Saccharomyces cerevisiae S288C: one gene and its partners. The gene in region 1 interacts genetically with each later gene. Each region holds a gene or a part of one and is shown on either strand. Other genes may lie near its edges. The genes, in order: HOT13, SRL4, ATG23 and EFM6.

The links.
Region 2: mutations in HOT13 (region 1) and SRL4 together harm fitness more than expected from each alone (negative genetic interaction), as found in Saccharomyces cerevisiae (one large-scale study listed by BioGRID).
Region 3: mutations in HOT13 (region 1) and ATG23 together harm fitness more than expected from each alone (negative genetic interaction), as found in Saccharomyces cerevisiae (one large-scale study listed by BioGRID).
Region 4: mutations in HOT13 (region 1) and EFM6 together harm fitness more than expected from each alone (negative genetic interaction), as found in Saccharomyces cerevisiae (one large-scale study listed by BioGRID).

Annotation. Positions count from the first base shown.
Region 1 is NC_001143.9:276,110-283,827, forward strand, and holds HOT13 (Hot13p), read left to right. Parts: upstream 1-4,399; coding exon 4,400-4,750; downstream 4,751-7,718. Other genes in the region: phosphopantothenoylcysteine decarboxylase complex subunit CAB3, read left to right, coding at 1-889; cytochrome c1 heme lyase CYT2, read right to left, coding at 1,080-1,754; SRX1 (sulfiredoxin), read left to right, coding at 2,172-2,555; malate dehydrogenase MDH1, read left to right, coding at 3,014-4,018; ribosome biosynthesis protein RRP14, read right to left, coding at 4,916-6,220; TEF4 (translation elongation factor EF1B gamma), read left to right, coding at 6,782-6,986, 7,313-7,718. UniProt on the Saccharomyces cerevisiae protein: Required for the assembly or recycling of the small Tim proteins in the mitochondrial intermembrane, thereby participating in the import and insertion of multi-pass transmembrane proteins into the mitochondrial inner membrane.
Region 2 is NC_001148.4:482,158-489,952, reverse strand, and holds SRL4 (Srl4p), read left to right. Parts: upstream 1-1,745; coding exon 1,746-2,591; downstream 2,592-7,795. Other genes in the region: SVL3 (Svl3p), read left to right, coding at 1-1,066; YPL034W (uncharacterized protein), read right to left, coding at 2,744-3,241; H(+)-exporting P2-type ATPase PMA2, read right to left, coding at 4,267-7,110. UniProt on the Saccharomyces cerevisiae protein: May be involved in the regulation of dNTP production. Induces the SOS system when expressed in E.coli, therefore, it may play a role in DNA metabolism and/or in genome stability.
Region 3 is NC_001144.5:994,925-1,003,376, reverse strand, and holds ATG23 (Atg23p), read left to right. Parts: upstream 1-1,673; coding exon 1,674-3,035; downstream 3,036-8,452. Other genes in the region: IMP dehydrogenase IMD3, read right to left, coding at 1-820; DNA/RNA helicase SEN1, read right to left, coding at 3,248-8,452. UniProt on the Saccharomyces cerevisiae protein: Required for cytoplasm to vacuole transport (Cvt) vesicle formation and efficient autophagy. Plays a role in ATG protein retrieval from the pre-autophagosomal structure (PAS) and is especially required for autophagy-dependent cycling of ATG9.
Region 4 is NC_001146.8:585,099-593,032, reverse strand, and holds EFM6 (putative protein-lysine N-methyltransferase), read left to right. Parts: upstream 1-5,185; coding exon 5,186-5,926; downstream 5,927-7,934. Other genes in the region: rRNA (cytosine-C5-)-methyltransferase RCM1, read left to right, coding at 134-1,606; FAP1 (Fap1p), read left to right, coding at 1,873-4,770; KSH1 (Ksh1p), read left to right, coding at 6,213-6,431; cyclin-dependent protein serine/threonine kinase regulator SSN8, read left to right, coding at 7,742-7,934. UniProt on the Saccharomyces cerevisiae protein: S-adenosyl-L-methionine-dependent protein-lysine N-methyltransferase that methylates elongation factor 1-alpha (TEF1 and TEF2) at 'Lys-390'.

The DNA of each region.
Region 1 (7,718 bases):
TAATAACTCCACACATAAAAACAAGGAAGTTATCACTGCACCCACAGGGCCTCGTGTACCCTTCACAGAGTTCTTTCAGAAGGAAGACGACAAGAAATTCCACATTCTCATTGGTGCGACGGGCTCAGTTGCCACAATAAAAGTACCTCTAATTATTGATAAACTTTTCAAGATATATGGGCCTGAGAAAATCTCTATTCAGTTGATTGTCACAAAACCCGCTGAGCATTTTTTGAAAGGGCTCAAAATGTCAACACACGTTAAAATTTGGAGGGAGGAAGACGCTTGGGTATTCGACGCTGTGAATAAGAATGATACTAGCTTGAGTCTGAACTTGATATTGCACCATGAATTAAGAAAATGGGCTGATATTTTCCTGATTGCGCCTTTGTCAGCTAACACACTTGCTAAACTGGCCAATGGTATATGTAACAATTTGCTAACTTCTGTGATGAGAGATTGGTCACCACTGACCCCAGTGTTGATTGCGCCTGCAATGAATACATTCATGTATATCAATCCTATGACAAAGAAACACCTGACGAGTTTAGTGCAAGACTATCCGTTCATCCAAGTTTTGAAACCGGTGGAAAAGGTATTAATATGCGGAGATATTGGTATGGGTGGTATGAGAGAATGGACAGATATTGTAGAGATCGTTAGGAGGAGAATCAATGAAATACGGAAAGCTAGGGACGAGGAAACTGGTGATAAAGAGCAAGAACAAGAAGAACAAGAGGGTGCTGACAATGAGGACGACGATGATGAGGATGACGAAGAGGATGAGGAGGACGAGGAGGAGGAAGAAGCTCTAAATGAAACAGCATCCGATGAGAGCAATGACGAGGAAGACGAAGAGGATGAGGAAGACGTGAAAACCGAAGTTTAAATGCATTAGAAAAGAGTATTTTGTGTTATGTTTTATGTTTTATTTTTTTTTTTTTTGTTTATTCCTTAAAAGAAGATTACTGCTTTTTCATTCCCTAGTTTCTAAATTGAGTGCCTAAATAAGATTAAATAAATATGTATGTGGAAACTAGGGAGGGTATGTTTTTATTTACAGGAATAGTTGTAGTAATTCAAAAGCCTAAAGATTTCCAGAACCGTAATCTAAAGCCCTCAAAACTGTTTAATTTTGGTCTAACATCGAGATAAATAAGTGGTTGTTGCTGCGAGTTTGCATCGTTCAGATCGGTGGAATAGAAATCGATTACGTAGTCGACGGTTTTACCGCATCTATCTATCTGCCAATCATGTCTATCAAAAGGTTTGGCCAGGTGCAAGATACGGGACCTGAACCAGGCCCTTGGTGTCAGTTTTTTGGAATCACCTTTAAAATTTGTTAATTTGATACCGCCACACGCTTCACCACCCTGCTTGTCTTCCCAGCTTTTAATGTAGTTCCAAACCCGCTCATTGATGGAGTTATGTAAAGGCACAACCACCTTCATGTCATCTGAGTTCGGATCCCAATTTTTTTTCATCATTGCCTCGTAAAATTGTTTCTCCGACGGGTATATCCAGTTTCTGTCAGAATTCGTCCTTGGTATGGTGGAAACCTCTCTGGACTGAGAGAGATCCACCGTGGTGTGATATTCAGGCGTTTTATCGTTATCTTGTGGGTTTGCAGAGCACTCTAGTTGATTGCCTGGGGCAGTAGCACCAGGATGCGCTTCGTTGCCATGTTCTCGTAGCCATAACTTTTTGGTTTCCTCATCTACGGGGCATTTCCCCTGTTGGTCTGAAGACATCATAATATGTAAAATAGAGACGAATGAAAAGCACGTGAACTAACAAACTATTTACTACTACCGAAATGTGATGCTTAAGCCTTTGGCCTCTGCAATACTAGCGATTGCTTTTTCCCTGATTAGTAAGCTACATCATTTATACTACATCTTTCTGTCTTAGAAGGCTTACAAACATCGAAAAGCTGGAACTTTGATTTCGAAAAAAATATGCCGTTACCCGTTGCGGGTCCCTTTTTTTTAGAAGGCCGGCCCAGAAGTCGCCATTATTTTTAGTCATTACAGTAGCCCTGTTGGGTAAGGATGCGATGCAATACATGTCAAGAGGTGTTGTATATAAACCACAATATCTACCATCAATGAGCTATATATACTTTTCTTACTGAAAAAAAAAACTACAAAACCAAGTAAAAAAAGAACAATATGTCACTACAAAGCAACAGTGTAAAACCAACAGAAATTCCTCTCTCAGAGATCAGACGCCCCCTAGCGCCTGTGTTGGATCCTCAAAAGATCGACGCAATGGTGGCCACAATGAAGGGCATTCCCACCGCTAGCAAGACATGCTCTCTAGAACAGGCTGAGGCGGCTGCCTCAGCCGGGGAACTGCCGCCCGTGGACGTGCTGGGCGTGCGAGTCAAGGGACAGACGCTATATTATGCCTTCGGCGGCTGCCACCGTCTACAGGCATACGACCGCCGGGCTCGCGAAACGCAGAACGCCGCCTTCCCCGTGCGCTGCAGGGTGCTACCGGCCACTCCCCGCCAAATCCGCATGTACCTGGGCAGCAGTCTCGACATCGAATAATGATTACGCTAATAACACTACATAAGAAACATAGATAAATTATAATTCACTAATACAAAATCCCTCAATTTAATTAATCAATTTCTTATTCAACAACTAGAGTAGGCACTAGCAGTTTGTGCGACCCTCGGCGCCGGAGAGGTACAAGGGACCTGGCGGTTGGGCCTTCCTGCCAGCTTCTCCCCCCCTTCTCGGCATTCACTCAGCGTTCATTGGCTCAATCACGCGCCAAGCGGATTCCCAGAAAAATACAAAAAAAAGTTGCCATAATACAATGGCGGATATTACAATATATATAGCTTGCGCTTTAAAAAGAAGTGTTAGCACGCATTGGGTGTTTGTACTGTATTCCTCCACTTAAGATAACGAATACACATATAGATATACAATATATTATACGTGGACATCTACGGAAAGGAAGAAAAAAAACAAAAGGAAAAGGAAGGATACCATATACAATGTTGTCAAGAGTAGCTAAACGTGCGTTTTCCTCTACAGTTGCCAACCCTTATAAAGTGACTGTTTTGGGTGCAGGCGGTGGTATTGGACAACCATTGTCTTTGCTTCTAAAGCTTAACCATAAAGTCACGGACTTAAGACTGTACGACCTAAAGGGCGCAAAAGGTGTTGCCACCGATTTGTCTCATATTCCAACAAACTCCGTGGTCAAGGGGTTTACTCCAGAAGAGCCAGACGGATTGAACAACGCTTTAAAGGACACAGACATGGTTTTAATTCCTGCTGGTGTGCCCAGAAAGCCTGGTATGACACGTGATGACTTGTTCGCCATCAACGCAAGCATCGTTCGCGATTTGGCAGCAGCAACCGCCGAATCCGCTCCCAATGCTGCCATTCTGGTCATTTCCAACCCAGTCAATTCTACCGTTCCAATTGTCGCCCAAGTCTTGAAAAACAAGGGTGTTTACAACCCAAAGAAATTGTTCGGTGTGACTACCTTGGACTCTATTAGAGCCGCCAGATTCATCTCAGAAGTCGAGAACACCGATCCAACTCAGGAAAGGGTTAACGTCATCGGTGGACATTCTGGTATTACCATCATCCCATTGATTTCGCAAACAAACCATAAGTTGATGTCTGATGACAAGAGACACGAATTGATTCACAGAATACAGTTTGGTGGTGACGAAGTCGTCAAAGCAAAGAATGGTGCTGGCTCTGCTACGTTGTCAATGGCCCATGCTGGTGCTAAATTCGCTAACGCTGTTTTGTCCGGTTTCAAAGGCGAAAGAGACGTCATCGAGCCTTCCTTCGTGGACTCTCCCTTGTTCAAATCCGAAGGCATCGAATTCTTTGCATCTCCGGTCACTTTGGGCCCAGATGGTATTGAAAAGATCCATCCAATAGGTGAGTTATCTTCAGAAGAAGAAGAAATGCTACAAAAATGTAAAGAAACCTTGAAGAAGAATATCGAAAAGGGTGTCAACTTTGTTGCTAGTAAATAGATTGTTCAAGATCAGAAATAGAGTGAAAAATAGGGAAAAAAAAAAAAAAATTCTACTAATAAGAACGGAAGACTACTCGCCATCATGAGATTACGACATCTTTTTTATTTAATTCTTTGTTATATTTAGCCAATTGAAAGGAAGGAAACTGCCAAAAATCAACTAGAGAAAAATTCATGCTATTCGTTGCTCCTACACCTTTTTTTCTTCCGTAGACGAGGAAAAACAAAAATGATTAAATAGGCGCGCGCGGTGTGATGGTGATGATAATGATGATGATGATGATAATGATGAATAAACGTTTCGGTTTACGAGTTTCTTTAAATATACATATATGATATAAAAAAAAAAATACGTACCACTTACAATTTGCAAATATAGATGATCGAAACTGCCATTTATGGTAAGACAGTGGATGACCAATCTCGATGTGTCCACTGGCATCTTCCAAAGGATGTAATTGCCATCAGGTTTAAATGTTGTGATAAGTACTATGCGTGCTTTGAATGCCACCAAGAGTTAAGTTCTCACCCGCTAGAAAAATATGATCTCCTTGACGATGCAAATAAACACTTGATTATTTGCGGAGTTTGCCGTCATGAAATGACGTTTGCAGAGTATTACGACTACAATTCAAACCTTATTTGTCCCAATTGCAGATCCCCCTTTAATCCAGGCTGTAAATTGCACTACCATTTGTATTTCCAGAACCCTCCCCCCGCTATGTGTTGAGTGTTGTTCTATAAATGCATGCCATCTTAAGCTCTGCTGTGCTCTTCTCGTTAAGGAAAAAATGCGATGGTATATATATAGATATATATATATATATATGTATCTGTATATATATGTTCATACATATATATATATCTATTATTGTTGTTATTATTATCGTGATTATTATTTAGGTCCTCCCTTCTTTTTACCTGTTTTTAATCTACCCTCAAATCCGGCTCTTTTCTTTGGTACGGCACTACCGACATACTTTCTTTTCATCTTTTCTTGCTTATTTCTCTTTTTACCCTTGTTGTCTTTCCTAATCCTCAGATTCTCTTCTCTTCTCTTTTGTCTTTCAGATATCGTGTCTTCCACAACCCTCTTACGTTCGCTCCATTCAATCGCAGACTTTCTCTTTTGTGCTTCCTTTCTCTTTATAGCTTTGCGAAGTAGTTTTTCGTCATCCCTAATCTTAATTCCTTCTGCTTGTAACATAGCCTTTTGCCATTTTTCCTTTTCCTTCTGCTTGATTTGTTCTAGTTCGTCTTTCGCCTCCATCTTATTCTTCTTGGCTTCTAATAACTTTAAGTGTGATTTTACATCATTCTTAGCCGGACCCTTCGTTCTACCAGCTTTTCTTAACCTTTGTAAATCTGAAGTGGCCCTTGCACCATCATCGAATATGATATTTTGAAACATTACACCATCTGCGTTAATTTCTGAGTCCTTCTTGCCTTTTTTGAATCTTTTTTTCGAATTGTTTTCTAAATCACTATCGATGTCTTCCATATCGGAATCAGACGCAATTTCATCCTGATCCTGTTCCTGTTCACTTTCTAGACGCTTTCTTTTTTTCAACTCTTCCTTGCGTTTCCTTTGAGCAAGAATAGCCTCTCTAGAACCGGGTGCTTTCCTTTTACTCTTCATATCTGAAATTTTCGCTTGTAACTTGGAACGTAGTGCTTCCAAGTTTTTCTTTCTTTGTAGTTTCTCTTCCTCTGTAATAGACTTCTTTTCGACAGATCTATCGGGCTCTGTAGTATCTTTTTTAGATTCTAATGGTATTTCATTTCCCTCATCATCAAAGATCACCTTAATATCCTCTTCCTCTTCTTCATCTTCGTCTGGTGCTATTATCATAGGATCGTTTACTTCTACGTTCAGGTCGGAGTCTCCTTCCACTTTTGATGTTGCTTCCTTTTGCTTTTGCATTTTCATGTGCTTGAATTTTTCACCAGGTAGGACCACCGGCTTTGCGTCTTTCTCCTTCTTCTTCATTACTTCTAATGTACTAGATGTTTCATCATCACGTTGCTCCGGGTCTAATTTTTTCAGTTTATCATTTTTACTCTGTTCTTTGGTTTTCTTCTTGGCCTTCCATTGCTCTTGACTTTTTTCATCATAATAGTATTTTGCAGGAATTAAAGCCAATAAACCATCGAAGGCGCTTGAATTAGCACGAAGGCGCTCCTCAAGTGAATTACTCATCTCAGTCTCCTATATCTTTCAATTCCCGGACTTTCTTTATCACTTGCAACAACGTCTCAGTCCTCACTTGTTATTCATCTCTTGGTCATCTCATCTCTTTTATTGTACTTTCCTCTTTTCTTTACCGGAGATGAGAATAAAAAGAATTCATTTTAAAAAATTTTCAATTTGGTGTCTGGGTGAAACTTTTTAATCGTGTAATCCCAATTAAACCACTCTACTTTACTTTAATTGGTACACGAACTCATTACACACCTTTGCCTCTATTGCTTGTGTCAATCGTGTTGAGAGAGGAAGCCCAAAACAAGGGAAATTAACCTCTGTAGGCAAGCCATCACATTTGGCAATAGCAGCCCTCATTTAATTTAATTCGGCATGTGGCCGGCAGGGTAATGCGCTCTGCTGCTGACAAAATTGAAAGAAAAATTTTTTTCATCAACAGTTTGCAATACTTTCTTTTTCATATTTAATTCATCCATTCCGTCGTTAATTTTGTTCAAAACTGGTGTCCATCCTTAATACCAACTCAATTCTTTGATTTTGGCCCTCGATAGATTCAAGATGTCCCAAGGTACTTTATACATTAATAGATCTCCAAGAAACTACGCTTCTGAAGCTTTGATTTCTTACTTTAAACTAGATGTCAAGATCGTTGATCTAGAACAATCTAGCGAGTTTGCTTCTTTGTTCCCATTGAAGCAAGCCCCTGCATTTTTGGGTCCAAAGGGCTTAAAGCTAACTGAAGCTTTGGCTATCCAATTTTATTGTATGTTCCATATTTTATTTTAACACTTCCACATACATTGTTTTGCGCGTTTCCCGTTCGTTTATTTGGCACGTCATTTTTCTTCGAAACATAATGATGAAAAAAAATTTTATCAAACAGTTATCCCTGTCTGAATGGGTAATAATAGGTAACCTCTCATATGTTGATATTTGTATTTCTGATATGTTTCTTAAAGAAAAATGAAAGTCAAAATAACAAAAAGGAAGTACAAAGCGTGTCCTAATCCAGGAAAAAATATAAAGGATTGTTTTACTAACATTTCTTCAATTAATGGTTGTATAACCATCGAGATGATGTATATTTAGTGGCTAATCAAGTTGCCGATGAAAAAGAAAGAGCTCGCTTATTAGGTTCCGACGTTATCGAAAAGTCTCAAATCCTTAGATGGGCATCTCTAGCTAATTCCGATGTCATGAGCAACATTGCTCGTCCATTCCTTTCTTTCAAAGGTTTGATTCCATACAACAAGAAAGACGTTGATGCTTGTTTTGTTAAAATCGACAACCTAGCTGCTGTCTTCGATGCTAGATTGAGAGACTACACCTTTGTTGCTACCGAAAACATTTCTCTAGGTGACCTTCATGCCGCTGGTTCTTGGGCTTTTGGTTTGGCCACTATTTTGGGCCCTGAATGGAGAGCTAAGCATCCTCATTTGATGAGATGGTTCAACACTGTTGCTGCTTCTCCAATCGTGAAGACTCCATTTGCTGA
Region 2 (7,795 bases), on another chromosome or scaffold:
TCCAGTGAGATCTCCACCACCTGTTGTAAGCTCTCAGCCACAAATGAACTCACCATTATCCTCACATTCACAAACTTTCGGAGAGAATAATGGCACGAATGACAAATTACTACAAGAACGCGAATTGCAACTCCGTAAAAAGGAATTAGAGCTACAAGAACGTGAACTGGAGTTCCAGAAAAGAGCATTACAGCAACAAAGATTTAATAATAGCAATAATTCAATTCCAAGAAAGCCTTCCTTCCCTCAATTACAGCAGTCTGCAAACGTTCGTTCTAACAGCAGAGGAATGCATGGCACCAATGGCGCTATGTCTCAACCTGCATCCGCCGGAAATTTTGTAGACCCAATTTCTTCAAGTATCGCTGCATATGACCCGCAACAACCTCCTTCCTTACCCCTACAGCAGCCACAACAATCGGTACAAGTACAACCTTTTCACTCACACTCTATCAAGCCCACAAGTAGGAAGAATAGAAATAGTAATATGCCTAATATTGGTAATCCTTCCAGTATAAATATGAGTGATTTTGGCAGACCACCGAACAATTCAAGTCAAACTCGCTTAAATTCCATGCCAACGCATAGCATCGTAAACCAGAATAGATTGAGATCACAACAATCGAAAAACAAACTGAATATGCCACATGCCACCAACCCAAACAATACTTTTAACCAAGTCCCTGCTCCTAGTTTAAACAATCACGTTCCCACACAAAGGCAATTTAGCTCCAGTACCATGATAGAAGTTACAAATAATAACAACAAAGTTAATAACAGTAGTAGCAACCCTGATATTTCCACCAACTCGGTAGTTCATAACGCAATGCAATTTACAAATACAAACAACAATACAAGTAGCACTGTGGATATAAACGATCCCAAAAATATTGCACCCCCTCCTACAACCTCTGTTTCAGCCCCAAGCACTCCAACCTTGTCCTCATCAAGTCAAATGGCGAATATGGCTTCGCCTAGTACCGATAATGGTGACAATGAGGAGAAAAATGGTGGTAAGAAGAAGAGATTTGGCCTATTCAAAAAAAAAAATAAATCAAAGAAATAATATCCTTCGACAGCTTAATGAACACGCATGTAAATGTTTTGTAAACAGTTTGTTTTTTCGTTTTTGTATCTGTTAATTTTCTATTATTTATTTTTTTAGTTTTTTTTTGCGGTAGAATTGGGTTATCACTGAATCTATTTTATTTTTTGGGTTGGTTTCTCCCTGTTTTCAGTTTGTTTGAATTGGTGTTTAACAAAATCTGGAATTATTCACTATAATTATTTCCTCTTTTTAGTTTGACCAAATAAACTCAACTATCTTGTGTTATTTCTTTGTATTATAGCTTTACACATATTTAACTATCCATACCTTTTACTTTTTGTATATACTGTTAATTTCATAAAACACGTTTTAGTACCAGAAAATCGTGTCATAGCACCGTTTTAGCAGTGATTTTTAAAATTGTCCAAGGTGCCAATAAATACTGGTGGGAACAACATTTTAATTAGAATAGCTAAAACCTTCTAAGAAAACTATCCCAGCGTAGAAAGAAAGAAATCTCTATCAGCCGCGCAAGTGCAGTATCTCTTATTTTTGCACGGCCCCGTCGCTATATTGTCACACGCATTTGAATTAGTGACTCAATAATAATACAGATTTGTGACGTATAAAGAAACCACAGAAAAACTGCGTATGTCCGAAGCACAGGTCCACTAGTAATAGAGCCCAAAAATCTGACATGAAGAAAACAATTTACAAAGTCCTCGTAAGTTTTTATCAATATGTCGGTTTAGGTAAAAAGTTCCATCCTAGCCACGATACAGTATTAATTATTGGCGGTTCTTCAAATGAGTTAGGCATCGAGCTCTGCGAGACATTTATAGAAGATTATCATACAAAGGTTATAAATATTGACACTATAGACAGTATTAATGGAAAAAACGCAAGGAGAAGTGAAAAACTGTATACTTTTATTTCTTGCAAAGATTTCAGTGACATAAAATGTCTTGAGGAATCCATGCTTTACCTTCAAAATTTAGAAATAATTCCTACAGTGCTCATTAACAACATGCAGGAGGGAATCGAATCGACTCTTCTCAAAGAAGACAAATTTTTGAGACTTGATGAAGAGTCTTTAAATGAATTCGAGAAAATCGTGAGGTATAATTTACAAAGTGTAATATTGATAACTAAGTTCTGCTTGAGTAACATTTTTCCAAAGGTTCAAGCTGAAGCTCAAGAAAAAGCAAAGGGGTTCTATATTGTCAACATATCATCGGTATTGACGTTAAAACCGTGCAAATCAGGAACACATTTTATTACATCGAAATGTGGTATAAACTCTTTCCACGATGGAATAACCTCAGAGCTTAAATTGAAAGATAGTAATTTGAATGTAAAAACGCTGATTGCATATTTACCCAGTTTTGAAAGTGAAGCACATTGGAAGAGACTTTCCCCGAGTATCTCGAAACATCTCGTCCACTGTCTACTTGAGGGAAGATATGGTGATACAATTCTCGAAAGCAAAAGATCAATTGGTGATATTCTTTTGATAACTGGTTTCAAAAGCTCTTTTACTTAAGGGTACTACAAATCGAAGTAACAGTGATAAAATTGCTAAGCACATATATTTCTATAAATAATTCAAGGAAAAGAAAGGTAACACTACAATTTTTATGATGATAAATAATTTGAATAAACCGGCCAGAATAGGCCAAAAAATTTTTTTTAAGTCTAACGAGATTCTCCTCCAAGGCAATAAGAATCAATAAGTCTTAGTACTGATGGTAGCTCCAATACAGGCACATTGAACCACTCTGTATGCCTCTTTTTTCCAGTTGGATCACACCCATAACAGTAAACCAATCCTTTCCCGTATTTCTTCCATAAAAATTTATGAATAGCGCTTTCGATATCTGGTAGTTTCATTGAACCTTTTCCGCTAATGAAAAATCCACCATCTTTATAAGTGCGTAGGGTTGGCACCTTAGGATCTGGAAGGGAAGGCTTGTGTGAGTGACTTTTATCTTTGATGAAAAGTTTCTCCATTTTTTTTTGTAAGCTTGATAATGAAATGGGCAATAGCCTGTTTGAACTGATATTTTTGCTTTCACTTTTCAATTTCAAGTGGTATAATTTATCGACTTTCTCTGGAGTCAAGTTTATCACTGGATGCTTGCATGTGGTTTGCCATTCTAAAAGTCTTGAATCTACTGTTTTTCGAGTGGTCATTCCTATCTTACATAGAATAAAGTCTCTGTCTACCCATTGTCTCTTCTTTTTACCATTAGTCCGAACTATTGACTCATCAATAAATAGCCATTTTAAATCTACCGTCTTTTCAGATATGTATGATTCAAAGAGGTTACTGTATGTATAGATGTAAATAAAACCCGGTTTATTTTGCGCATTATCTCTTGGTGCCCGTGTGTACCTTGCATCTTGCCACTGATGATAATGACAGTACTTTTTATCCGACGGTATGTTTATCTTGCACCGCTCTCCCTTTTTTGTTATGCCTAAGACATCTCATAATAGATTTAGCTTTGATGAGCACTTTTCTGATATAGTCTTATCTATGATGGGAAACAATTCTTTATTTCTCTTGACATTTGATTTCTTATGGTGTTGGACTTCTCGCGGGAGAGGCGCACATACACGACTACATGATAATAACATTATTAGAAAAATATATCAACATAAAAGAAGAAACTGATATAATACGTGCAATGTGCTTGTATGTAAATAAGTGTGCATTATATGTTTATTAAAAATTAAGAATTAGATTGATTTAATGTTTCGAAAAAAAAAATATTTAGTCATTTCACCATGTTGGATGGGAATTCGTGTGTTGTTATTGGAATGATTCTTCCTTTTTGGAGAGGAAAATAGTCAAAAGAACACGAAATAATATGAAAAAAATTTTCCATATGAATTTGCATCCAATCAAGCAAAAGATCGGCCTACTTCTGATATGTGGATATGTTTGTTTGTGTGTGTGTGTGTGTGTGTGTGTGATAAAATTGACAGATATGATGCCACTTAGTCTAAAAACTTGTGTGTAAACTTTAAAACTGTAACATCATATCGAAGGTATCAAACAGAGCACAATTGAAGAGGCATTAATTTGATTTTTGTTGACCGTGTTCTTTTATAACGTCTTGGCTTCCTTGGTATCGACAAATTGAAATGAAAATGAGGAATAACAAAAAGGAGATCAATAAGAAAAAAAATCAGATGGATGATGTTTAAAATTACTAACTGCTTTTTTCGTGTTGAGTAGAAACTCTTTGCATAGCAGCCATGAAATCTTCGACACTTCTTGTAGACTTCTTTTCCTTTAATGACTTACCATTCATCAACCTATCAAAGGCTTGAGACGTGGACATAATATAGTAAAATCCTCCCAATACACAAAAAATACCAATGGACCAAATCCAGACACGAACGACTGACACAATATCAGTCCAGTTTTCAGACCACCAGCCAAATAAGGTAAACATGGTAGCAATAATATCAACGGCGAAAACGGCACCGGCTAACTGCCACGATGGAATGGAAGACCAGAATGGGCCAGCAGCTCTAGTGACAAAAATTAACCAATTTTCAGTTAGTGAAATCTGCAGGAACATGACACCATTCATGGCACCAAAATTTTGGATAATACCACCATTAGGCAAGAACATGGTGGTTAAAGTAATCCAAGAACCTATAGCTAAAACTATGCCCAAAATAATAGACATACCCCATAATCTTGGTAGGTTCCATTTCACAGGTTCAGGAGCATAAGGAGCATTGTCATAAGCAATAGTTAAAGTGGCAACGTCTGCGAAAATAGCAATAAAAACGATCAAATTGATATCCAAAGAGTTGTTTAAAATAGCAATCCATAAACCCAGGAAAATCTCCAAATGTAAGGATAGGGCAATACGATAAACAACATAGGAGTACATTCTGTGGAAAATCTGTCTAGAAGTCTTTAAGGCATCAATAATAGCAGAGAGACCAGGGGCCAAGAAAACAATATCAGCGGCTGATCTGGCAGCATCGGTAGCACCTTCGACAGCAATACCAGTATCAGCCTTCTTCAAAGATGGGGCATCGTTAACACCATCACCAGTCATAGCAACCAAGTAACCTCTGTTTTGCAAGATTTCAACGACTCTGTATTTATGCTGTGGGAAAACTTCTGCGAAACCATCGGCATTTTCAACAAAATCAGCCAACTCTGAACCAGGCATATCACCTCCACCTCCCAGACCTAACCTTTCTGCGTTATAAATGTTTGTACCAAGTCCTAATTGCCTACACGTTTCTTTCGCGATACCAACAGCGTCACCGGTTAACATCTTGATTCTCAAACCAAGGTTTCTGGCCTCATTGATTGTTTGAGCGGTGTCATCTCTAGGGGGGTCCATACATGGCATAACACCCAAGATTTCCCAGTGACCTTCCCCTCTCTTTCTAGCAACACCTAAAGCACGGAAACCTCTAGAAGCTAGTTCAGCAACCTTATTTTCGTAGTTTTCATGCACATCTTCCGGAATTGGGTGATCTTCTTCAACAGTCTTCAAGACAAACAATGGGGCTCCCTTGACACAAACAATTCTTTCACCTTCTGGGGATTCTACAACAGCGGTAACCTTTTTTGAGACAGGGTCGAACGGATGGAATTCCAAAACTTTGTACTTGGTCAGGGCGTCTTTAGCTTTTGGATACTCAATCAATGACTTCAAAAAAGCCTTATCAATAGCATCCAAACCTTTCTTCTTTCTAGAGGCAGCTAAACAAGCGGTCAACATCAAGTCGTCCGGAGAAACGCCTTCGACAGTGTAGGGTTCGTGTAAAGATAACTTGTTTTTGGTTAAAGTACCAGTCTTGTCAGAACATAAAATCTCAACACCAGCAAGGGATTCAATAGCAGATAACTTTTGAACAATGGCTTGCTTCTTAGCCAAGTAAGCTGCACCGACAGCCATGGTCGTGGTAACAACTGCTGGCAAACCGACTGGGACACCAATGATGGTTATACCCAAAGTATATCTCAAAATGCTTACAATACCGACCGTTCTATAGAAACATGCGGTCCAGACCAACAACAAAGTAGCGATAACTAGAACAAGTAAGATAATACCAATTCCATTCAATACTTCAGTGAAATGGCCCTCTACACCGGAAGCCTGCCCCACTAAGGCGGCAGCCCTACCGACGAAGGTATTGTCACCAGTGGCAGTAACAACCATAAAAGCCTCGCCGGTTTTCACAGTGGATGAGGAGAACACCTCATCACCGTAATGCTTTTCAGCGGCTAAGGATTCACCAGTGATGGCCGATTGATCGATCTGCAAAAAACAGTCTTCAGTGACAATACGACCATCTGCGGGAGCAATTGTGCCACTTTCCAATTGCAAAATCTCACCAGGAACTACCTCATTAGCCGGAATTTCGATCAATTGGCCATCTCTAATAACTGTTGCAGTATTGGCCAACGTCTTTTTCAGCTCGTCTACGATGGAACCTGCCTGGAATTCTTGAATAAATCCGACAGATGCGTTTAATAGCAGTAAAGCACAGATGACACCGACATCAACCCAATCAGACAAACCGGCAGCCAAAATAGCAGCAGCCTCCATAACGAATTGAATAGGCCCTACGAAGAACATCAAAAACTTCACAATCAACGATTCATTCTCCTCAGCCATTTGATTTAACCCATATTTCTTTCTTCTCCTGGCGACTTCATCCGAAGTCAAACCATACGCAGGGTCCGTAGAAAGGTCCTTTTCAGGAACAACCCTTTGGCCAGCGTGCACCCCATCAGTACGTACTTCTTCTTCACCAGATTCATCACCCTCACCGTAGTTAGATTGTAGTTCATCAATCAATTGGTCTATATCTTCATCTGAGTCAGAATCATCAGCGGCAGAAGCGGCTGCGGCCTTCCGTGGAACGGCTGCAGCCGATGACGAGGCGGAAGTTGATGTAGAAGACGAAGATGACGAAGAAGCGGCAGAATTATTTGCAGGGTCATCGCCATCACTGGCATGGAGGTACTCTTTCGAGGGTTTCTCCTTGTATTGCTTTGCTTCAGTGGAAGACATAACGCAAAACAGTTTCCTTTTGCTTAAATTGTACTAGCACACAGCAACGAAAAATGAAAAAAAAAAAGTTATGGGTATGTTTAAAAAAGCCCAGTAGCTTGGATACAGTAGGTTATCCAGCAAGAAATGCTGGAAGAAATAATAGATGGTAAAAGAGGATATTACACACCTTTATATAACGAAGTACCATCACACCGCCAATTACGTTTAGGGGACGCCGACAAGAAGTAAATTCACTATTATGTACTTACAAATATGTTTCCACCGATAACCTTTCCCCCTTCGACGGTTATTTGAGCAGCGTCTGTCCGCCATTTTTCCAGAGAAGCTACTTCATCAATCAATTGACTTCGCAATTCCCTTAAACAAAAAAAATTTCTTTTGCCCTCCCTCGACGATTTTGGAGTAGAGAATACCTTAGGCCTTTTTTTTTCTTTTTTCTCACGGCTGCTCTTCCTCTTTTTCGCATATTCTATTTTATCATCGACTTCCCTAATTCGCACTCGTACCAAAATGTTAAGCAGTATGGCGAAGAACGTGGCGCGCTGGAGTCGTGAATGTTTGGGTCCTTGATGATGGACTACGGTAGTAAGTATGTAGTAGTTGCAACTTCATATGTTCACTTCTGATCCAAGGAAGAGCGGTTATGAATTAATCTCTTGGCATGAGCGGACGGGTAAGGGGA
Region 3 (8,452 bases), on another chromosome or scaffold:
CATCCAAACCTGCTTCGACTAATAGTCTTAACCTTTCCTTATCAGCATCGATAGTACCGATAGCAGCACCACATAACAGTTGCTTGGTGGTGGCAGATTTAGAAGCCAATGGATAGTTCTGATTTTTCATTAAATCAGTTCTGGAAAGCATAGAAACTAAGTTACCATTGTCGTCAACAATCAATAGCTTACCCTTTTTAATCTTCTTTAAAATTTCATTACCTTCAGACAATGTAATACCTTGTGCACCGGTGACAGGGTTTTTGGTCATAACATCTTGAACAAGCAAAGAGTTGTCTTCAACGAACTGAATATCACGAGAAGTGACGATACCCATCAATTTTCCGTTTCTTTTACCATCTTCTGTAACGGGGAAACCGGAAAATCCAAATCTTTCCTTCATACTCTTAGCTTCACCCACAGTAGTAGTTGGGGAAATCACTATAGGGTTGTTAATAAACCCATTTTCATAGTTCTTGACTCTTCTGACCATGTCAGCTTGGTCCTCTGGGGTACAGTTGTGGTGAATAAAACCGATACCACCCAACAAAGCCATGAAGATGGCCATTTCTGATTCTGTCACGGTGTCCATTGGAGAGGAAACGAATGGGGTGTTCAAAGTGATATTCCTTGTCAACTTAGTTTGTAGGCTAACTTCAGAAGATGGGAAATCAACCAGACCTGGCAAAACCAAAAAGTCGTTATAAGTCAACCCACCTCTGGTCTTGGAGTCCATCAACTCCTGGACAGACAAACCATCTAGTCTTGGTAAGCTCTTGGCGAATTCCAAGGCAGTCTTGTAGTCTCTAACGGCGGCCATTGCTTTTACTACTTTCGGAGTTATTAATTGCACTGATAATATTTACTGCTGTTAACCTGTCGATGACTTCTTTTCCTTAGAATAAAAGTGAGACAGATGAGATGACGTGCTTTTCTGCGAGTTTAGAAAGTCTTTCTAAGTTAAGTTATATAGAAGCAAGAAAGAAAAGAAATAGAGTAAAAAAGAGAAAGTTCCCAGTACACTAGGTGAAAATGCACAAGCCCACGAAACTGGAGTAAACCTCCAAGGGTCCCAACACTCAAAAATCTTGTTGGATCTCGGAAGGGCAAATTATTCAACTATTTATACCTTTCTATTTCTTCTTTTTTTTTTTTTTTTTTTCAGTGAAAAATTTTTCATTTTTCGGAAAAAGAAACGTGTGCGGCTTTGAAGGCTAATATTTATGTAATTAACCAGAGTTAGAAATGAACACAATAGTGGTTAAAGAAGCCACTGGGTCACTGGAAAAAAGTACATCTTGTTAGCCATCAAGTAACAGGTTTATGTATTGGGAATTATGGTTTTTCAAGTTCCCTTGTCTCTTTTTTCCCGATATCCTAGCCCTAGGACAACTTGTAGGGTATCAGCGCATATGTTCAAAAAATTTAAGGGCGTAAGCTCTGGCGTTTAGGTGCGCAATTAACAAAAGGTATAGATAGTCTTTTTATAGTGTAAATCATATACAAATAATAGAACACAGAGAACGTCTGTATATATCTATTGGAGAACCGGCTAAGGAATGGAAAAGTGAAGGATAGAGTACGTTTTAGTTCAAGTGATTATTTTCGTTTTCTTGTTCCACATTTTAACCTCGTTGTTCTATAAGGTAACAAAATAAAGTGAAGAAGTAAATATGGAACTGAATCAGGTTTTAGAAAAAAAGGAGCAGATTCTGCAATACTTAGGCACTCTGGTCGGGCTTCACGAAAAAGCGTTGTCTGATGTAAATTCGGCTTCCCAGGTGACAAGCATCCGGAAGGATATCACTATTTGCTTAAACGATCTATGCAGAATTAATGATCTCTTAGTATCCCATGATGGTCTATTGAAAAGAGAAATTGGGTCCTTACTTCGAGACAAACAAGAGCTACTAGAACTGAACGAAAGAGAGCAGCTTCTTTGGAAAGAGCGGAAGTCGTGGCATATTAAGCAAGAAACCGATGCTGCGCCGGCGGACTATGTTATCGATAAGGACGCCATAATTACCATTTCATCGCACCACCGGACATCACTAAACAAATATATCGAGTCAGTGGGGGCAGAAAATACAATACTATCCAATACGGATGATTCGGATGCAATGATCGAGGAAGTACAGAACGCTGAATCTTCTGCGGATCAAATGATACGTAATTACAAACTGTTACAATTATCTCATAAGCAAGCTAAATCAGAAATAATAAGGCTGGAAACTTTATTAAGAGACTTCAAAAAGGACAATAAATTCATTGAAGAGGAGTTAAAAAGGCAATCTGGACGGATACGTTCCGAAATGGGTAATATTGATTTTCATTTGTCCAAGATAGAGGAATCTAAGCATCAATTAATGAAAAGAATAGGATTCGAGTCGCCCCTGACACAGGAAAAATCACTATCAGAAAAGATATTCAATTTAAGGCTGTCCAGCGCGGATGAAGATTACAATGAGAGACAAACTATCAACATGAAAAATTTTGTTCATATGAAGGATCTCATAGAACTGAAAATTGAAGATCTACAAGAGCAACTAATGAGAAATAAAAATGAGTCTTCTACAGTACTAACGCAACGTGAATTATGGCTAGATTGTCAAAAAAAAGTAGGAGATTTGGAAAGCAAATTAATAACCAAACTTCGGAGCAGCAGCAACTCCAAAATACCTCCAAATGAAATGTCAGAAATGATCAATTCTACAATACAGTACCTAAATAACCTTCTTGACTCTTCTGATGAAAAGCTCACGACAACTTTAATATCAAACGAAAGGGACGTACTTTCGAAAGCTTGTGAAGAACTCCATAGCGAAAGTACCACTGCACAAGATGGGTCAAGCGCACTACCTTCTAAACCAATTGATATACACAAAAGCCATAAAGGGTCGAACGCGAGTTCAAATTTAAAACAGCCCTCGACTCCCTCATTCTTGGTTGCTAGCAAATCGCCACCAAAGATTGGCATTTCTGAAAGTGTAGTAAACGCTAATAAAAATGATGCCATATCAAAAAAAGTTGAATGAAATGCAAATAGCTAGAGTAGCCATGAGGATAATGTAAATTTAAACATTGTATGCCCACGTAATAGTCAAACTCTTTCACGTCAAATTGAAAAAAAATGTTCTTTTTGCTGAAATAATGAAAAATAATGAAAAATAATGTTGCTATTAAATTCAATATAAATGTATACACCAATATATATGCAGGTATAATTCCTAACACTTTTACTTCAAGATCATGATCTAGGCTTTCTTTTTTTTGGGATAAATGGGCTAGATGAAGCATTCCGTCTCGAACTGTTGCGTGTGCCTGTGGGCCCACTACCAGGTCCTTTGAATGCTGAAGATTGTGGTTGCGGATGGGGGTTTAAATCATATGGATCTTCTGCCTCAGCAGGATAGCTGTCTTGCGGATGGGCGGGCAGAGTTTCATGCAGTTCGCCTGTACCCACAGGAGCCGTTGAGTATTGATTCGCATTACCCACATGTTGAGAGAGGGTCCTATTTGCTCCATTCTGTCCATTTTGATTGGGTTCACCGTAATCGGAAGCAGTCAGGATCCTCGAAGAACCACCGGATAAAACACTATTTGAACTTCTGTGTTTTGTAATAGCAGCAGGTACCTGCGTCTGCTTTGCTTGCGAAACTTGTGGATCGTCGTATATACTAGCGCTGAAATTTTGGTTATGAGAAGCCACCCTGTTGTTACGACCATTTGCTTCACTTTTCATTAATGAAGAATCGGAGATTGACGGCGTATAATCATCTTCGTCATCATCATCCTCATTATTACTGATTTCAGGCGGAGAAATTGTTCTCGTCTCCTTCAAACCTAACTGCTTTTCCTTCAATACAGAGGATAAACTTCTGGTCACTTTAATTTCAGGTTCGTCATTTCTTGGTATGAAACTAACATCATCCGAAAAACAAACGTGTTTGTTATTTTTCTTTTTACCAACAACTGCTGCTGCCTTTTTGTTGCTGTCCACATCAGGAAAAGTTTTAGGAACTACGGCACTCGGTACACTCATTCCACCAAAAATGGATGACTTTTTCTTTGTACCAGATGAGGTGCTGGGCGATTCTGCCTTCTTGTTATTCTTTTTCTTATCATCTGCCTTGGACTTTTTCTTTTCCTTCTTCTTCTCTTTCTTCTTTTTCTTTACAGCTTTATCTGCCTCTTCACCTTCATCGACAACTCTTCTCTTCTTTGTGTCCTTATTGGATTTTACCTCATCGGGGCCTTGCGTAATATATTCCATGGGTAGCTTATAATCATCTTCTTGCTCTGATGGTACGGGTACATTGAACTTTCTTAAAATACTTTGAGCTCTATTATTTCTGGGATCCAGGAAACCCGAGCAAGCATATGCAAGACAACTTCTATCTTTTGCATCTTCAATCAAATCTCTCCATAACTTGCTTTTAGCCAGAGACCTTTGATGTCCCAAAACCCAAATACTTGTCTTGGCTCTAGTCAGAGCCACATTCATACGACGAAAGTCCTTTAAAAAACCGACACTAGATTTCGTATCATCGGCACGGACACACGATATCAAGATGATTTCTTTTTCTTGACCTTGGAAACCGTCGATTGTATTGAAATCGATTGATTTGTTGATCATGCCTCCAAAATAGCGGGCAAACTCTTTACGCATTTTTTGCATTTGCTCTCTATAAGGTGAAATTATACCGATTTTTCCCGTGAAATCAATTTTATTATCGAATTTTCTGAAAAGGTAGTCAACTAACTCAATGGCAACACGTATTTCCTCCATATTTGTATAAGACATAGTCTTCGCATTTTGTTCTTGCCTACCACTAATGATGTCAAAAAATTTGTAGGGAGCTAATGGCTCAAGCTGGTGCCAGGGTCTTTTGTTCAAGATATCCATACCAGGGCCGTCTTTTAGTCGTCCCTGATAAAATTCAGAAGAGGGGAATTTACTGATGGAAGGATGCATACGGTATTGAACATCCAGCAAGTATGGGGAGCTATTTTTCTCCATTCTAACGAACAGTGACTGATTGTATTTAAAATTGCTTGCTGCACCTGAAAGAACAGTTGGTGGTAGTTGGTTAGGATCACCAACCATAATACAACGCTTCCCTCCATACCTGAGAGGAATAATTGAAGAAAGTTCGGTACATTGACATGCTTCATCTATAATGACCGTATCAAATTTAATACCCATTGTTGCGAGTACATCATGGGCTGAACCAGATAAAGTCGAACATATGATGTCACTAACCGCCAAGATATGGGCCTGTGCATTCCTTCTATCCAAATCCCTATTCCTATAATTTACGGAATTCTTCTCACGCATTTCGTCCCTATCACGGCCAAGTTCATTGATTATTTTACTTAGCTCCCTAATCTTAAGTTGTAATTTACTGATATCTTCGGTTGACATTGGACTTTCTGGATTACCACTCTCAGAGTCTAATTTTCCTCTCAATTCTCTTCTTTTAGTCACAGCATTATTAAATTTACGTTCTAGTTCCGGATCTGTTCTGATTTCGTAATTCCTTTCACCTATCCTTTTATCCACAAGTTCTTCTAAAGTAAGGTCCTTAATTGCAACGTTTACAACGTCTGACCTACCTACACGGACCAATTGAGGTTTAAATTGATGCCCCTGCTTGTCATACACTCCACTCTTCAGTCTGAGGCAGATTTCGTCCACAGCGGCATTACTGGGGGCACAGATTAGAATTTTTTGCTTTTTTAACAGTTGTTCAGTATTCGATGAGTTCTTTTCTAGTGGCACTTTGATGACATTTGAAGATGAGGCATTCTTTGTAGACAAAAAGTAACCAATAATACCCAGTATAGTCTTTGTTTTACCCGTACCAGGTGGACCCTGAATTAAAGAAAAACCTTCTTTAGATACCGAATTAACGATGGCCTCAGCCTGCGACGTATTGAGCTTATAGCTTTTCTTAACTGTTTCAATTTCTGCCGCATCCACATTTACGGGAGGCGATGGTTTAGCCTGTAGAATTTGGCCAACTAAGTCATAGTATTCCAGCCCTTCCAGTGTTGAATACTCTCTTTCAATAGTCGTCATTTGCATAACCTTCACACAATATATCTCTGATCTTAGTGTCAAAAATTTACTGAAAGAATGATTTCTATGAATTCGTAATGTGACATCAACATTACCACCTTTGGTATTTTTCAATGTTCTCACCTTTGCTAAACATGTATGTTGTGCTTTCTTGAAATCATCACTGGACAACCTTTTGTCTGGTCGAAAATCGGGTAAATAAGCCATTACAATTAAGTCAGATTCAGAAATACCACAATCCTGTATGACTTGTTTAGCGACAGAGGCATACACATCATAGAAATCTGACACAGCAGTTCGATTTCCTACAATAATACTGAAAGGTTTATAGTCCTCTCTATCACGTGAAGAACATAGACCTTGCCAAGATTCTAGAAGTAGTAAAGGCTTCATGACTTTTTGGTAGTCAGCAGGAGAGTTGAAGAAATCCTTTACGTCAGAATAATTACCAATAGGCTCATCATCAGGATATTCACTATTTCTGGTGTAATCCCATTGCAATATGATTTCATATAGAGGGTTCATATCAACATTTAATCTCTTTCTCATATGTTCTAACTCCTGTTTAGCCAATTCAGCCGCAGTTTGTCTCTTGACAACCTTACCATTAATATCGACAGTTTGTATTCCTTTGCCTTTTGCCTTAGCAATAGCAAAAAGCTCCCGAGCGCTTTCTATATCGTTGTCACTCTCCTCACTACTGCTATCGTCGTTTTTGTTAGACAAACCCCTACTCTTTGTATGGAAAGCTGGCGCACTAGGTGGATGAACAACTCTGTTGTTTAATAATTGCATCCTAGCTAATTCCATTTTGGATAAAGGCTTAACAGGTTTTGTACGATGCAGTTTAGCATTAGCTGATGATTGGAACGTACCAAAAGATGTTATTTTAGGCTGAGCTACTCTTGGTCTCCCAGTTATTGAAGAAGATAAAGCTTTTCTTTGTAAATAGTCTGCCCTGGATTCAGCAGAAGAACTAGCAATGGTTGAAGACAGAGAGGGCGAGAGGGATGGTGACGCCGGCACAGAATCCGTTAAGTCGATCACCTTCCCAAGTCTTGATAATTCCTTTTCTTTTCTGTAGTTTTCAGCTTCTGTAGCGACCTCTTCCGTGAGTGCTTTATTGAATATTTTAGCCTTTTGTAGAATCTCACTCGCCTGTTGCTCCGTCAACTTATTTGAAAATCTCTTTGCCTTCGAGGCGTACTTGGCCATCATTTCTACCAAGGAATCATCCACTTTCACATGCTTTTCATGTGCTAAATCAGACGTGCTTATAATTAATCTAACACAAGATTCCAAAAGTACTTCGTCGCTCAATCTCAGCCAATACAACATATTCTTAAAGGTTTCTAAAACGTTGAGAAGTAAATTTTTCGTTTGGTCATGAAGAATATCTGAAAATTCTCTAAAGGAGTCCACCAAAGAGCGACTTAGATCTAAAGTATCTTTGGTGAAATTTTCCAGTTCAGAATAGTCATATTTAGAAGCCCATTTCAAAGTAAACTTATAAATCGTATCCAAGAATAACCAACATGATTCCCAGAATTTTAAAAATTCCTTTTCGGTATTTTGGCTCTTCAAAGTTTGGAAATTAGCAAACACACCAGAAATCGGGTCTACAAATGCACTCACTACGTCCATCAAAACACGAACAGCACGGGGGCAAGGCTCATAGAATTCACAATTGATTAATCTTTGTAGCATCACGTTTATATTCTTCAAGTTAACGGTCAAATTACTATTCAGAATCGCTAAGATACCTTCCAGTCTACCCTCAACGTCAAATGTATTGTATAAAATATTAGTAGCTGCTTGATACAAGTGTTTATCAGAGGAGAATATGCAGGACCAAAAACCCTGCGATGCATCTTCATCCGCAAGGATTTTAGACAGTTGACCGGGCAAAATATCCGCAAATTTTTCCATTAATCTCGTTGATAGCAGCAAAAACTTCTGATTCAATGCGTTGTGTGCCTCAGCTACGGCAGTATTTGACGGTACTATCAAAAGACCATTAATATTTTTTAAAGATACTAGCAGCTGTTTGGCCAGCAATGGACCGTCATGAAAAGATCTCAGGTCAATTTTATTTGTAACATTTTCCAAGACGTTGGTTGAAATTGGAATTTCGCTAATTGGTTTACCTGAATAAAGCTTAAACGTTCGATGACATAATAACAGTATATCAAAATCGATACATTCTGCCAATACCATCATCGTGGATGTGGCCACCGATGCAGAAGCAGCACCTAGCCCAGGATAAAAGTCGTTAGGATTCGAAGCTGATCTAATTATTATGTCTTGGATCAAAGGATTGTTGAGCAAAGCTCTAGAATCTGTTTTAGTCAACAGTACTGTTTCAAATTC
Region 4 (7,934 bases), on another chromosome or scaffold:
CCTCGAGATTTCCAAACGGTGCGGGAAAATGGCAAGTGAGGAAAAAAAAAACTGGCCTAAAATATTCGATGAGGTTAAGAGAAGAGCTGGTTCTTCACCAAGTGTTTCACTGAGAAGTTAGCTACGAAAAAGCATGAATTTCTACAGGGATGCAACATGGGTGCTAGAAGATATTGAGAAGGAGGCTGCAAAAGAAAGGATTTCCGGCTCTATGCAGACGCTGGTACTGAAAAGCTGTAAAAGATATAAGCTGAAAAGTAATCCAAAACATATTTATGCAGTTCTCGATTCGTGTTGGAAATATAAACCATATTTGGAGAAAGTGATGAAAAAGGCACACATATTGGAAGATATACCCAAGAAAAAGGGCAAACCACTCTTTTCAAGGCTAACTTTGTTATTGCTTTGCCATGATTTGCTGTTGTCTAAGCAGAAAAGAATTCAAATGGGCAAACACCCCATCAAAGATTATGTTTTGAAGTTTAAGAGCCCATTGCATAGCGAAATGGTCAAATTGAAACTCAAATTGAAAGTAAGAGAGCTATCTGAGTTGGTATTAAGCGAGGATATTTCCAATGACCTTCCTCCTGTTAGATGGATTAGAATCAATCCATTAAAATGCCATCCAAATGGTGAGACTGAGCCGGTGTTAGCCGAATTGAGGAAGAAGTTTACTTTAAAGGTAGACAAATGGTCTGAACTAGTTCCTGGGTCTATCTATTATGATGAGTTTATTCCAAACTTGTTTGGAATTCATCCGTCTGACAAAATTACAGCACATGAGCTTTATAAGCATGGGAAGATTATCATTCAAGATCGTGCTTCTTGTTTTCCAGCCCACATTTTGAATCCAGGACCAAGTGATATTGTGATAGATTCCTGCTCTGCTCCAGGTAATAAGACTACCCATACGGCCTCTTATATATATCCCGAACCACCGAAGGACAATAATACTCGAATATACGCTTTCGAGAAGGATCCTGAAAGAGCAAAAGTTTTACAAAAAATGATCAAGATAGCTGGCTGTTCTCCCAACATCAGTGTCAATGTAGGTGATTTTACAAAGCTCGCTACTCCTGAAAAATATAAGGACGTTACTTGTTTTATTGTAGATCCGAGCTGCTCCGGTAGCGGTATATTTGGTCGTAAGTTTTTTGACTCATTTAATAGAAGGAAAATTGATGATAAAGATGACGATGGTGGCATTGTGCCGGATGAGCAAGAGGAGTTTATAGCAAAGGAAGAACTACAGACAAGGTTAGCGAAGCTGAGTTCATTTCAGTTCCAGATGGTAAAGCATGCAATGAGTTTCCCAGCGGCTAAAAAAATAGTATACAGCACATGTTCCATTCATGCGGAAGAAAATGAACGAGTCGTCATAGACCTTCTTTTAGATAAGTCAGTTAGAGAATGGGGTTGGAAAGTAGCGCCAAAAAGAGAAGTTATTCCTTCTTGGCCTAGAAGAGGCAAGGTAGAAGAGTTCGAAGAGGTTTTTAGAGATGGAGTCACCTATGACCCTCAACAGCTTGCCGAGGGTTGTATCAGGGCACTACCAAAAAGTGACGGTGGTATTGGTTTCTTTGCTGTCTGTTTTGAAAGAGATTAAACTTTCAGAACATTCATGTATATATGTGTATATCTGATATGTATTATTGCATTTTTGCTGTAGTACTACGGAAAAGACATTTCAATAATCTATACATCCCGCACATAAAGGAAGATTTTCGGGTAATATACTATTATAAAAATTATCGATGAGCTCTGTGAAAAGGTCGTAAATATAAAAGTTCTTTCTTGCGACAGTGGCAACAACCAAGTGAAACAGCGTGAGACGAGACTGCTCTAATCTATTTGCAGTCGTAGGCATTACAAATGACCGAACATGAGTCTTTAGGCCTGGAGCAAAATCAAGACGGCGGTGACACTTATAGACATCACAACCTAAGCGATGGGTGTATTTCGAGTGTTGAAGACGCCAACGAGCAGCCTAGTTCGTATGAAGAGGAAAGTGATGATGATATGCAATATTACGAACGTGCGATCCAGGAAATTTCTAGCGGTGACTCATATGTTTGTATGATTTGTACAGTAGAGATGGATTATACGTGCCAAATGTTTGCTTGCAAGAGATGTTATAGAGTGTTTGATTACGGATGCATAAGAGAATGGGCGTTAAAATCAACGGAAAAAACCGTAGATAGAATATGGAAATGTCCAAACTGCTATTATGTTAGCAAAAGAGTTCCGGTAAAAAATCGGCCCACATGTTGGTGCGGTAAAGTTGTTAATCCTGATCCGAATCCGCTGGATCCTAACTCATGTGGACAAACCTGCAATGCTTCTACTTGTATGCATGGTTGTTCCAAAATTTGTCATCTAGGGCCGCATCCAGAGTGTACTAGAATGGTCGAGATTATGTGCCACTGTGGTAAGCATTCGAAAAGTATCTTTTGTTACCAGTCTAAAGTTATGAAAAAAAACTTCAACTGTCAAGAAGTATGTGGATTGCCTTTATCTTGCTCCATCCACACCTGTAAAAAGAAATGCCACCCTGGCTTATGTGGGCCATGTCCAGAAATGATAATTAGTAAAGATAGTCCGAAAAAGCAAATAAAATGCTACTGTGGTAACCACACTCGTGCTAACATAAAGTGTAGTGAAACAAAGTTTCCCAAGTCCGGTAAGTCGTCGAAGGATGAAAATGGGAACAGGTGGATAGGCGTGTTTGCCTGTGCAGATAATAGAGTTGTCGACTACTCATGTCGCAAGCATTCATTCATAGAATCTTGCATAAGCCCACCCACAATTAATGGAGAAAAGGCATGCCCATTTTTGCCTAGCTCTTTGAAAACTTGTCCCTGTGGCCGGACAGCCCTAGAGGAACTGACTAAGCCTCGTAAGCATTGTGATGATCCGATACCAACCTGCGACTCAAGATGCGGTAAACCACTAAAATGTGGCAAACATTCGTGCCCCTTCACTTGTCATGATAAAGCCTGTATGGAACCCTGCTTGCAAATTGATAGTGTAAAATGTGCTTGTGAGCAAAGTACATTTTCAGTTCCATGTGGATTTCAAGGAAGGCCTCGCTGCAATATTAAATGCGAATCCCTGATGTCATGCCGTAGACATAGATGCACCGATAGGTGCTGCAGTGGTAGGCCATCGGCGATAAGAAGGAAGAAAAACTTGTTCAGAACGCAAGATTTGTTGGATGAGTCTCTTGTGGAAGCAAAACATATCTGCCTAAAACCGTGTAACTTGACCCTATCATGTGGAATTCATAAATGTCAGAGAAAATGTCACCCAGGAAAGTGTCCGCCCTGTTTAGAGAGTGATTCGAACGATCTGGTCTGCCCATGTGGCAATACAGTTGTTCCTGCACCCGTGCGTTGTGGCACGAAGCTACCTACATGTAATCATCCATGTATTAAAGTTGTGCGTGGCGAATCTACGTGTGGTCATAAACCAATGCCACATACCTGTCATTCCTTGGATGTGTCGTGCCCGCCATGTACGGAAACCGTATTTAAACCTTGTAAATGTGGGAAGAAAACTAAAGTGAGAACGGTTTGTTTTCAAACAGACGTATCATGTGGAATAAAATGTGGGATACCACTCTCTTACTGTTATCATACCTGCCAAAAAACATGTCATTTACCAGGAAATTGCCAAAAGGTGTGTAAACAGACCTGTGGGCAAAAAAGGCTCAATTGTAATCATGAATGTCCTAAACCGTGCCATGGTAAGACAGAGTGTCCCGATTTACCTTGTGCCACGCTAGTGAAAATTTATTGTAAATGTGGAAGGATCAAAAAAAGTGTTACTTGTGGCGCAAAAAGTGATAGAGTAAGTGTAACTGAATCTTCCGTGCTGGATTGCAATGAAGAATGTGAAGCTTTGAAACGACTAAAGGAATTGAAGGAGGCATTTGGAATTAAGGAAGAAACCAATAATTTTACAAGTAATGAACTAGATGCGTTAAAAAAACTGGTCTCTGTTGCTACAACATTTGAAGAACTGCAGTTACCGTTTACAGAGGCAGCATTATCAGTATATTCAAAGCAAGAAAGATGGTGTTCACAAATTGAAGCTATTCTTAATAAATTAATGGACGATAAAACACGTTCAAGCTTGCATTTCAAACCTATGAGGCCTCCTCAACGCCACTTCATCCGTGAACTAGCCAAAGCTTACGGCCTATATTCCGAGTCTCAGGACAGAGAGCCCATGAGATCTGTATTTATTAAGAAAGAAGATAATGGCGCAAGCAATAAACCAGTCTTATCATTAGCAGAAGCTTACCCACTATATGAATCATTTAAACAATTGCAGAAGGAAAGGAAAGCACAAGAATTTCAAGCTCGCACCACAGCTAAACTAATCAACTTCGAGGTTCAAGATACGGAACCTAAAGTAGAGGTGGCTAAGAAAAATGGTTTTTTGGTTCAAAATTTGGTTGCTGGAAATACTGCCGAAGATCTAAGGAGATTTTTTGAACCACATCTCAAGCATACGTTAGTAGTGAATCCTCAATACCTAATCCTTGATGATGGCAAAACAGCACTAGTGTATCCTGAAAATTACGAAACAGCATCCGTGAATACCGAACGTGACATGGAGCTTTTGGTTGGACACTTCGATTTTATGGCCAAAGAGGCATTTTTGGCCGATTCCATTTCGTTGTGTTCAACTGAAGAAGAACTTGAAAGAAGGTTGGATACGCCCGTAATTCAAGAGGATAGTCCTGTAATGGATAATAATACATGAACTATAATAGCGTGTCATTATTTATTACGCGGAATTCTAATTAAATAGAAATATCTAACTTTTATTTTTTTTCATCCTATCTCATTTCTTGTTTCTCCCTGTCGTTGCTAAAATACGAGGATCTGCATATGTTTACATATCAACGTTCCCGTAAACGAATGGAGAATACTGAGTGTCACGTTAATAATACGGATATTATAATTTGGAAACCTAGTCAAGTAAAACCAGAAGAGATTTTTCTTTTCTCTTAAGCTTTTTTGGCTTGACCAAACGAAAAGTCCCTCACACCCAAACACTGAAAGTAATTCTTCGTATTTAAATAATTCAAAAGTTATGATGAGCAGGCTCTATGTAAAAAAATGGCCCATAATTTTCCCTAGAACGTTATAAAAACGCGACTAGTGAGGTATTGAGTATGGAGAGTATATTTGGTGGGTTTGGAGATCTAGTTGTTCCTAGGCCAAAGGAGCATCTCGGTCAAACAGACCTTTCCTTCGGTGGAAAATTATTGCCTGCATTGAAAATTTGTGAAGATGGCGGTGAAAGTGGTTGTGGCGGTAAAGTCTGGATCGCTGGCGAACTGTTGTGCGAGTACATACTCGAGAAATCAGTTGACCATCTGCTAAGTAAGACGGTCAATGGTACGAAACAATTTAAAAAAGTCTTAGAATTGGGTAGTGGTACAGGTTTAGTTGGATTGTGCGTGGGGTTGTTGGAAAAAAACACATTCCACGATGGCACTAAAGTATATGTTACGGACATTGACAAGTTGATACCACTATTGAAAAGAAATATAGAACTGGACGAAGTTCAGTATGAAGTTCTTGCGAGGGAACTTTGGTGGGGTGAGCCGCTGTCGGCAGATTTCTCACCTCAAGAAGGTGCTATGCAAGCAAATAACGTTGATCTAGTTTTGGCAGCTGATTGTGTGTATCTCGAGGAAGCTTTTCCATTACTAGAAAAAACACTACTTGATCTCACTCACTGCATAAACCCACCTGTAATCTTGATGGCTTACAAGAAGAGAAGAAAAGCTGATAAACATTTTTTCAACAAGATTAAAAGAAATTTTGACGTTCTTGAAATTACAGATTTTAGTAAATTTGAACATTATCTTAAGGAAAGAACCCACTTGTTTCAGCTTATCAGGAAGTAACCTGACACAGTGAATTTATCTCTTAATGATCCTGATCTTATTATATTTAGTAATGAACTTTTCGATAGACATTTGTAATTCATGAAAAAACGATATAACATTCATTTTTGTAGTGTGGTGTACGCATGGTGGGACTGCTCTTCTTGAGCGAAATTTTGATCTTCAATAGAGTGAGCAACGACAACTCAAGGATAAAGACAGAACAGCGGTAAACATCGTTTGCAAAATAACTAGAGAGCCGGATCGATTTACTTTGCAAAGTTGCGTCCTTTTTCCACGACAGAATATGTCTGCATTATTTAATTTTCGTTCTCTTCTGCAAGTGATATTGTTACTGATTTGTTCATGTTCTTATGTTCATGGGCAGTGGCCGTCTCTCCTAGATCGTTACAAAAATCATGAGGTTTTGGGGGCCTTCTGGAAAATGGCACGTGTTGGTGAAAGGGCCAGTCCATATGTTAGTTTAGCATGTATTTTGATGGCCATCAGTCAATTTAACAGCTGATTGGAAGATACTTAGTCATATGGATTTAAAGTTACGCAAATCAAGGTCATAGAAGGTGCAGTACCTTTTAAAACAAAGAGTATAAGTGGATTCAGACGAAGTGTCTCTTTAATTCTATCGTCTGATAGCGTACAAGTAAGGGTGCTATGAGCTAGCACGCACAGCAAAAATATAAACACTTTTGTATTTTTTTTTATTTTATAGTGTTTTGTGTTGAGTATTCATCTATTCGACCTCTATAGAGATTTAAGAAGGGAATTCATTGTCACAATAAGGACGCATAGTTGTTCATTTTAGACATCATTTACAGCACTTCCGTAAACTACCCCATATTGCGATTGAATACTACCGAAAAGGCTCAAGAATTTACGTGGTGCCCAATCAATTATATAGAATGAGGAACAATGGTAAGTAATGAATAATCATGGTCAGTAATAAAAAAGCAATCTCGTCCATGTTTCTTTTTGAAACTCAGAGCTTGACTCTGTTGCATTGGTATTTCATCATTTGATGAATTATTCACTATTCCATCTTCTTCTTACACAAGTTTACCAATAAATAACTCATCTGAGTTATTCAGACTTTTTATTAGATCAGTTCGGCATATTTAACTATGCAAAAGTTTTACACTGCTAAAAAGTAGTGTAAACAACAAACTGTTAAAAAAATAAAAAGGGGTGAATCCATGGACCAAGAATAGTAAGCTCCATTGGGTTACTCGATCCAGCACGGGAAAGAGCAATCGTCATAACTATGGTTTAGATTCCATACAAACGGAATCCAGTACCGAAGAAAACACCAGTACCCTGCAATAGAGGTACCAGGTCAAGAAGCAGAATACCCAAGGGCATCCTCCTTAATGAGTTGATTTAAACAATTTAAAATTTTTAAATCTCATTACGTTTTCCGCATACGAATTGGTGGGAGACTTTCAACCCAAAGCATATTACTGAGTAAAAAAAATTTTACTCCATTTTGTAAGCTTCGATTTGTGACGATTCTTTGGTCATGGATTGAAGAACTTTAAACGAGAAGAAATTAGAAAACAGGTGAAGACCACTATTTAGTTCTTTACCGCAACATAGGATAAACAAAGTTATTTTCTTACTCCTTTATATATTTGAAAAAATATAAAATCCACGGAAAAACATCGAAAATTCATTTTTCATGAAGGAAAATTAGGGTTCATACAGGAGTAGAGTTCATTGATGTGGTAGCAACCTTGTTAGCACTCATATTGTTCGAACAAAAAATGCCCTCTCAAACTTTAGTTGAAGAGCGATAAGGCATCTGAATCTCAAAAGTTAGACATGTCGGGGAGCTTCTGGACATCTACACAAAGGCATCATTGGCAATATACCAAGGCATCATTGGCTAAAGAGAGGCAGAAGTTATGGCTATTGGAGTGCCAGCTGTTTCCTCAAGGTTTGAATATTGTAATGGATTCGAAGCAAAACGGCATCGAACAATCCATCACAAAGAATATACCAATAACTCACCGAG